Sus scrofa: one gene and its partner. The protein of the gene in region 1 interacts with the protein of each later gene in a biochemical or structural test. Links are inferred from orthologs where the notes say so. Each region holds a gene or a part of one and is shown in the gene's direction. Other genes may lie near its edges.

What was found.
Region 2: the proteins of RALGDS (region 1) and RAP2A form a complex in vitro, tested with the Homo sapiens proteins (2 studies listed by BioGRID). The link is inferred for Sus scrofa from reciprocal best matches to the Homo sapiens genes RALGDS and RAP2A.

What each region holds. Positions count from the first base shown.
Region 1 is NC_010443.5:272,797,157-272,801,479, reverse strand, and holds the start of RALGDS (ral guanine nucleotide dissociation stimulator), read left to right. Parts: upstream 1-1,493; 5' UTR 1,494-1,524; coding exon 1,525-1,707; intron 1,708-4,323. UniProt on the Homo sapiens protein: Functions as a guanine nucleotide exchange factor (GEF) activating either RalA or RalB GTPases and plays an important role in intracellular transport. Interacts and acts as an effector molecule for R-Ras, H-Ras, K-Ras, and Rap.
Region 2 is NC_010453.5:66,677,580-66,682,167, forward strand, and holds the start of RAP2A (ras-related protein Rap-2a), read left to right. Parts: upstream 1-1,582; 5' UTR 1,583-1,678; coding exon 1,679-1,992; intron 1,993-4,588. UniProt on the Homo sapiens protein: Small GTP-binding protein which cycles between a GDP-bound inactive and a GTP-bound active form. In its active form interacts with and regulates several effectors including MAP4K4, MINK1 and TNIK.

The sequences.
Region 1 (4,323 bases):
AGGTCCCTCTCGGCCTAAGCACGCACCTTACCGTCACCTTTGGAAAAGCAATTGCCCTGTGATTCTGACTTCACAGTGGTAGCTGAGCATCTGCCTGCATCATGCTCAGCCTGTGGTGTGTAATGGCACATGGCACGCGGGGACCTGCCCGTGAGTCAGCGTGGGGTGTTTGAGTTGTAATCGAGGTTTCCATCGACATCCTTGTATAGAAATCCGGGCTGGTCTCGTTAAAGGGCACGATCATTTTTCATGCCCTTAATGGAAATCGCCGAATTGTTTTCCATGCGTCTTTGCCAAGGCCTTGCCTGGTGCTTGATGGAGGACCACCTGGCAGGTGCTCAAGCCACCCAGGTGGGCACGTGAGTGGGAGGGAGCTGCTGGGGCCCCGCTGTCCATGGAGACCTGAGGCTTGGCACACAGTGGGTGCCCGAGATAGGCTTACGGAATGTGTAGTCCTGGACCTGCCTTCTCATTTGATGGACGGGAAGCGAGGCCCAGAGGTTTGGAACCCATGCTGGGGAGGTTGGTGGCATTGCCAGGGCTGCTAGCAGTGATCGCAGGCCTCTGTGAGGGCCATGGGCTGAGGCCAGGGCACTGTGTTGGTGTGAAAGAGCGGGCCTGTTCATTCAGTGGTCTACTCGTCCCCTCTCTGCTTCCTCCGCAGCCCTCAGCATCCCTGCCTTACCCTGACGAAGGCCCTGAGATCCTCAGCGCCCAAGTTACCAGTGCCTCCAGCTGACCCGGCCAATGGCAGGTGCTCGGCTGGCATGTGTCCCTCTCGATCCCTCACTCTTAAATGTTTGTAGGCCCCAACCTGGTGATGCCTGGCCTGGGCTCGTCCCTGTCACCCCCAAGACTGCCCCTCCTCCATGGCTTCCTTTCCGCCTGTCCCTCCTCGGAGCAGCCTTAGGGCTCGGAGAACGCTCGGAGGACCCGGTCACCGGTCCAGGACTCAGGAGCACACAGCCAGGCACAGGCACCTGTACATCAGTGACCCAGTGGGATCCTCTCGGATCCTCTGAGGCTCAGAGAGGTTAAGCAACTTGCCCGAGGCCACGGCGCTAGGGAGGGGCTTAAATGGAATTTGTAGGAGGAGGTGGGGACCCGCCGCTTGGCCGCTCATCAACACGTACGCAAGTCACACCCCTACACAACATGTGCGCTGCAGCAGCGCACACACCCACACAAAGTGCCAGACTGCGGTACCCACAGCCCCACCGCACTCGCTGCACGCGCACTCCCTGGGACGCCAACAGCCCGCACGCCCGCCGGGGCGCGCCCCTCCGGCGTCTCTGGCCCCGCCCCTTCAGCCCCGGCCCCGCCTCCCTGGCCCGGGCCCCGCCCCCTGCCCCGCCCCCGGGCTGACCTCAGCGAGGCCCGGCTGCCGGCGCAGAGCGCCAGGCTGCGCCGAGCCGCGCGGGCTGCCGCCGCTCCCGCCGCGCGCCGGGCGGGCCCCCGCGCCCGCGCCCGCGCCGCCTCGGGTCCCGCGGCCCGGCCGGCCGCCCCCGCCGCTGCGAGCCGTCCATGGTGCAGCGCATGTGGGCCGAGGCGGCTGGGCCTGCGGGCGGCGCCGAGCCGCTGTTTCCGGGCTCCCGGCGGAGCCGCAGCGTGTGGGACGCCGTGCGCCTGGAGGTGGGCGGCCCCGACAGCTGCCCGGTGGTGCTGCACAGCTTCACGCAGCTCGACCCCGACCTGCCGCGCCTGGAGGTGGGTGAGCCAGGCGGGCCCCGCGCTCCGCCGAGCGAGGAGTGGGTGGGGGCCCAGGCGTCCTTAGCGGGTCACCCACCTCCAGTGGTTGTGGTCCCCATCCCCTGGTCCAGGGGGTTGCGGGGGAGGGTCTTTCTGCAGAAATCCCCCTTCTTGCACCAAACCCAAGGCAGCCAGGTGGATGGATGTGGGGGCTGCCGCACAGCCGGCCCAACTGTTTAGGGACCAGAACCGGGTTTTCTGGCCCCCCTCTATCCGTCCCCAAGCCGAGGCGTGCCAGCCCCGCGCCCCTGCAGCCCAGGTAGATTCGTTCCCGCGGGCAGTCACTGTCTGGGTCTGAATTTCCCAACCGCGAGGCTGGGCCGTGTTTCATCTCTGCAGCAGCCCCGGGCCTTAGGGTGTGTGGCTTCGAAATGCAAGTGGTGAACTCGTTAGTGATTAGGGTGACAAATGCCTAGAATCCACAAAGGCCTTCCAGACAGCCCCTCCCTGGGGCCAGAAGTGGACGCGATGGTCAGGGCTGCCCGGAGGAGGGGAGACAGGCCTCCAACCTGGGAGCCAGGTGCCCAGGCAGGGAGGCTGGGACAAGGGCCTCTCAGGCCAAGGAGTGACTCACTTCTGCTTGATTAGAAAATGAATTTGTAAGGATTTGGGAGGATTCAGAAGGGGAAATGTGCTTATCATGAAGGGGGGTAGGGGTCATGGGTGAGGGCTGGATTCCTGTTTCTAGGGTGCTCTGGGCAGCAGGGGACCCAGTGGGCCCTGGGTCCTGGGGCACAGCCGGAGGGAGGAGGGGGAGGGGGCTGCCCTCCCCCCCCCCCACCTGACTGTGCACCTGACTCTGACTCTCTGCGGCCGAGGTAGCAGAATCCAGGGTCGGCGCTGGGACAGAGGCCGTTCCTGAGTCAGAGGGCTCTGTGCAGTTCCTCAGCCCCTGTGCTGGTTCGGGCCCCCTTGGCATCCCCCACCTCCATCTTTTTAGGGCCTGGCTCTTGTGCCTCTGTGTGTCTGTCCCCAGTACCTCGTCAGGGCCCGGATGCAGATTTGCCCAAGAACAAAGTGCATCTCCCTGCCCAGTGTGGGGGAAGCCAAGCGGTGGAGGGAGCTCTGGGCGGCCCAGCCTAGGACCTGGGGAGACCCTCTACTCCTGAGCTTCGTGGGCGGCCTGGCCGGCATATTCCCGGACCCTCATCCACCCAGAGCTCTGGTCTTCCTTGGCAGCTGGAACAGACCCCTGGGAGGATGGGGGGCCTGACACCAGCCCAGCGCTCATCTGACTCTCATTACGTCTGGCAGCTCCACGGGCTTTGTGTGCTGGAGGGTCCAGCCTGCGTGCTCACAGGGGCGGGCCGCTGGGCTGCTTCTCTCTGTCTTCCCTCTGCCCGCTCCCCCCCGCCCCCCGTACCTCTGCATCCCCAAGGAACCCGAGGGAGAAGCAGATCTGAGCCCGACCCCTGCCCGGGGCTCCGCCTTCTCTCCCCAGCTCTGCCTCTCCCTCTGTCTCCCCTTCTCCCTCCTGCTCTCCCTCCCTGGCCCCAGCGCTGAGATCCAGGCCGTGGCTGCTGATTAGAAATCAAAGGGGAAGCTTCTGGCTGCGACAGGAAAACCAGGGTCCTGGCAGGAGAGAAGGCCACTGCCGGAAACCGAACACAATGACCATTTACCATTGCCTGGGGGAGGGGGCGGGGAAGTCCCTGTCCCTCCTGCCAACAGCACCCCCCCATTCTGGGGCCGATTTCCTGGTCGCTGTAGCCTGCCAGAGCTGAAGCGGCTGCTGTGGTCCCTGTCGTGTCTGGAAACCACCAGGCAGTTTCTGTTTCCTTCACCCGTTCCTGTTTCCCTCCCAGGCCCCCACCCGGTCCTTCCCTCTCTGGGCCGCCAGATGTCCTTGCACATCTGGGCATCTGCTTGTCATCATATTTCTAAGCCAAGCCCCTGCTGACTCAGCTCAGCCCGCACAGTTCTGTGCTTTCTAGAGGTCACCAGGCCCCTGCCCCGAGCCAGGCAGGAGTCCCAGAGTCTGGAGCACCTCCTGGCTGCAGACACCACCCGCTCGCTCGCTCCAGCTGGCCTCGACCCACCCTCCCGAGTGGGTGCCAGCCTCACTTTATAGGAGACCGGAGCGCAGAGGAGTGAAGTCCCTCATCTGCATGTACACGCAACCAGGAGGATGCAGCCAGGATTTGAACCTGGGCTGTGTTCTCTGCTGGCGTCTACTGTGTGCAAGAGCCCCCGGGCAGCAAAGAAGCAGGGGGCCCAGCCGACAGTGAGGACGATGGAGCCTCTGTGCGGGGGACGGAACCAGGCCCCCGGCAGCCCAGAAGCCCCCATGGCGATGGATGGAGGGTAGGGGCGCTTATAGCCAGGGCCAGGTGGAAGTGCTTTGGGCCAGGAGACACTGGGGATAGCTTCAAGGAAGAAACAAGCCCCCGGCTGGACCCTAAGGTTTGAAATCCTAGCCAGTGCGAGCCAGCACTTTGTGGGAGGCCTTCCGCTAAGTAGCTTGCAAGCGTTCTGTGTTTTTGGTCAGATCAGCCATTGTCCATTTAACAGAGGACACGACCAAGGCACTGGAGCTTCCTTAAGTCACACAGTCTCATCGAGCGGGCAGAGGCG
Region 2 (4,588 bases), on another chromosome or scaffold:
GACCGGAAATTTTCTCACCCTCAAGACAAGAGTCCCTGTTTTCTCGATTGACCCACGATTCAGCCCACATCACTCAGCACTATTTCCGGGTCCGTCATTTAGGCAGAATGCCACCGAGACGACGTTAAAAGCGAAACCCATGGTTCTCGCCTCCAACACATCTTGTTCCCTTGCCAACGTAGGGTGCAACGACCTGTCCCTCAATCACTGACCCCTCCCAAACCCACCAGCCCTACCCCGGGTCTCCATTCCACCCACCCTTGGGGGCAAGGGAGTCGCGATTTCTGGTTGGCTCAGCTCAAGTCTCCGCCATCCGCCAGCTCACCTGCGGTTGGTTGGCAGAGCGTGCGTGGGAGGTGGGAGGGCTGAGCCTGCAACTAGGCTTTCCCCCCATTGGCTGATGGATGGGCATCACGTGGTATGAAGTGGCTCTCTATTGGCCGAGAATGGTACCATGGGTCCAGAGGCGTGCACTGGTTGGCTGGAACGACTCCCAGCTTCCTACTAGGTGCCCCGGCTGGCTGTTGCTATGAGCTGTCCCCAGGCCTTCTGGCTGCGCCTGGGGCTTCGCTCTCCCAGTTTTCCAAGCGCCCGTAGCTGACAGGGCGTGGGAAGAGCTCGACTTCCAGCAGACGCTGAAGAAAGGCGGGGCTGGGGGGAGGTGGGCGGGACTCCCGGCGACGTCACCGGGCGTGGGCCCGGCTTCCGCATGGTCGCTGGCCTTTGCCGCCTCTGGCAGTGGGCAGGATGAGGGCCTGTCACTTTTCCCTCTGTGTCTTGACGCTTAAAACAAAGCTTCACTTCGGTTTTATGCTCGTCCTTTAAACAAAGCCTTTTTTCGTTATGTTTATACAGGACAAAACCAAAGCTCACAGGCTGGGTGGTGTCTAGCAAGGCCCTCCTGCCAAGGCCTCCTTTTGGACCTTGCCGGTGTCTTCTTGTCACTCCCCGCCTCAAGTTAAAACCTAGAGACTGCTCTGGCCCCGCCAACATCGCGTCTCTGCCAAATTCTGAACTTGGCGTGCTCAGGCCGAAGCGGTTCCCGTCGCGGGCAGAAGAACCGCGCGTGCTCAGTACGCAGGATCCGCAGGGTTCGACGCGGCTTGCGGGGTGGGGTGTTGTTGGGTGGCCCAGGTGGTTGTTTATCTAAGCGCGGGCCGAGGCTTCCGCACGGCGCAGAGCCTCCCGGGAGCGCGCGAGGCCGGTCGCCTAGGCGACGGGGGAGCAAGGGCGGGGCTGCGCCACCGGGTCCCGCCCCGGGCCGCCGGGCCCCGCCCCCAGCAGCGCTGCGGCTGGGGCTCGGGCGCGCGCTCCGGCGCCGAGGGGAGCGGCGGCGGCGGCGGCGGCGGCGGGCGGGGAGCTGGGCGTGGAGGCGCGAGGGGCGGGGCGGGCGGCACTGCAGGCCCGCGTTTCGGGCGGCTCCGGCGGCTCCCTGGCTCCCACTCCCTGCTCGCCCTCAGTGCCTGCCGGCGCCCGCGGGGCCGCATTGCCGCCGGCTCGGCCCATGCCCAGGGCTGCTGCTCCCTCCGCCGGCGCCCGGGGGGCCGCGGCGGCCGTGAGGTGGGGGCAGCCGCGGGACGCGGCGGGGCCGGCCGCCGGCGCAGGGTTGGGGGGCGCAGCGCGGCGGGCGTAGGTCTATGTCGCGGGCAGCGGCGGCGGCGGCGGCCGCGGAGGGACGATGCGCGAGTACAAAGTGGTGGTGCTGGGCTCGGGCGGGGTCGGCAAATCCGCCCTGACCGTGCAGTTCGTGACCGGCACCTTCATCGAGAAATACGACCCCACCATCGAGGACTTCTACCGCAAGGAGATCGAGGTGGACTCGTCGCCGTCGGTGCTGGAGATCCTGGACACGGCGGGCACCGAGCAGTTCGCGTCCATGCGGGACCTGTACATCAAGAACGGCCAGGGCTTCATCCTCGTCTATAGCCTCGTCAACCAGCAGAGCTTCCAGGACATCAAGCCCATGCGGGACCAGATCATCCGAGTGAAGCGGTGAGAGGGCCGGGGGCGCGGGCAAGGGGCTTCGCGGTGCGGCCGGCAGCCCCTGTCCCGGGGCCAGAACTCCCTCCCGCGTGCTCTGGGGTGGCTGTGGGCAGGAGGAGCTGTCTAGGCAGGTGGCTCTGGGGTCTTAGGCTTTATCCTAAATTTTTAGCTGGTAGCATCCTCCTCGTCATCTTGAATCTCAAATTTGAGTGCTTTGTTTCACAACTCAAATTTGGCATCCGGTGAACCCACAGCACAGCTCTTTGTCTCTTGGATATTATTAGTAGCGGTTGTGCAGAACCCCAAAGGAAACAAAGTTTAAAACTTGCAGTGGGGGGAGAGGGGCGGGTAGGTTTCTGCTGGGAGGAGGCAGCTGTGCAAGTATAGCGGAGACATTTTCAGACGGAACAACAAAAAACCTCCCTTTGCAGCATTTGACAGCAAAAATTGCTTACACAAATGTGGTAAAAATGTCAAGTCCAATGGAAAGAGATCTTTCTCATTTCATAGAAGATTGAATGGTGGCAAGGCGTTTTACAAAAATGAACTCTTCACTTAAGATGAAACTTTAGAGACAGGTTATCAAATTATTTGCAGACCTGGCTCTGTGGGATTGAGAGAGTATTAGTATGTAGGAGCGCGAATGTACTATCACATTAAAGAATGTGGCTTAACTTTTTTTTTTTAATCTAGCCACTTTACCCCTCAGAAACAAAAAGAAAGGGAAAAAAAGAGGCATTCTTAAAAATAGAATGAGTTTCTTCAAAGGTGTGACTCAAATATTAGCTAATTTAAAGTTAAAGCAGATAAGCTCTTTCCTGTTACAAACTCTTTTCGCAAGTGTGCATTTTGGAAATATAACAGCCTAATGGCTTCTGCTATTTGTTTTATATTTTTTCCTATAATTTCTAGCATCAAAAAATGCAATAGTATCTCAGTTCAGAGTTTTAGCAAATTTTTCTAATTACCATTTAATTACACATTACTGTTTTGTCTGATTCTTACTATTAGTTAATAATTGCCAATAATTTTGATTCAGCATAATTTTGCTTTTCTTTCCCAGTTGTACCAGTAACCCTAAATTTGTAGACAGTTGCAAAAGCTAGTTATAAGTGTTATCATAGACATAATCTCATTTTTAGTCAGTTTGAGTCTACTCATTTTGAAAGAGCAAATACCAAGTCAGGTGCACGCAAGCTTTGCTCAAAAATTCATTACAAGAGGCGGATTTTTAATGCCACATAGGAGATCAAAGGGGAGGTCCTCTCCCCTCCTCCTTTAACTCATTGAATATGCCCTTTAATAGCTAAACTAAAATTTCGTGTGTTATTTTATATGTTAGATTTCAAGCTGGAATACAGTGAATGTTTTCATGGCCTCTGACAATGTCCTAAGATCTGTGAATCTGACAGCTTTTTACTTTTTCAGTCTCATTTCTTAAAGTTAATTGCTATAGTTAACATAGGAACCCTTTTGGTGTTAAATTTATTAAGTATATGATATTTAAGAGGCTGTATTTAAATGACTCACATCTTTAATTCCCCTCATACTGTTTTAAAAAACAAAAAACCTTTAGAACAGGGCAATCTACCACATTGTCACATGTCAATCTTAGGCCAAGTACATACATCAAATAGTAAAGTAAACGCCCCAACTGCTCCACCCTTTGTATTTAAACATATCACAGATAATTCCTGCGTTGATAAAGTCACAAGCCCAGGGCAAACTTCTTGGCACAAACTTACAGGACAGAATATGACAGAATGTTATTGGATAGTATAGTCCACATGATTTTGTAGTTTACTAGAGGTTACCAAGAATGAGTTAGTCTGAACTTAGTGTGCTAGAACGATTTATTTGTTTGCACTGTGACCCAGGAAGAAAAAGAAGAATAAAATTCTCCTTGCCCAAATGTCATTGTACTCACTAGTCTCAGTTGCCGATGTGTACAGTTGAAAAGCTCAGCTGAAGTGGACTTCGTAAACTCTTTTCACTGGAATCATCCATTGTGCCCATAAGTACCAGTTGGGCCCTTTGTGTCCTGCTGTTTTTTATCTCACCTTAACTTCATCATCTGGCCTCCCATCCTATAGCACATTGTAAACAGCTTAACACTGAAGGAGAGAGGGAATCGGTGTGTATGACAGTATACATTATGCTAAGGCGGCATTCAGTATGATGGGTCTTTAACTTCTCCCACTCAAAGCGAATAAAACATGATTTTCAAACAAGCGGATTTTCCACTCTTTTGGGGAATGAATTTTTAAATTAATGAGTTGCCGCAGCAGGTATTCAGTACTTGTTCCCTGGCCTCTGCCAGCTAGCTGCTTTGCATACTCTATACAACAGTTGTTTGGGATTATTTAATATCACCATAATGCCAATGACATAAGCGAAGTGCAGAGAGGTTTGGTATTTTGCCCAAAACTAGTCCTTGATGGAGAAGAGATTTAAATCAAGATCTGCATGACTCCATGTGCTCTTTCTTCTACATGAGGCTGCCTTTGAACTTGACATTTACTGGCAAATTCAGTGATCTAGCCTTTGGTCTAGGGCAGCACTCTTCAGTACGAATATAGCGTGGGCCACGTGTAATTTTTAAATG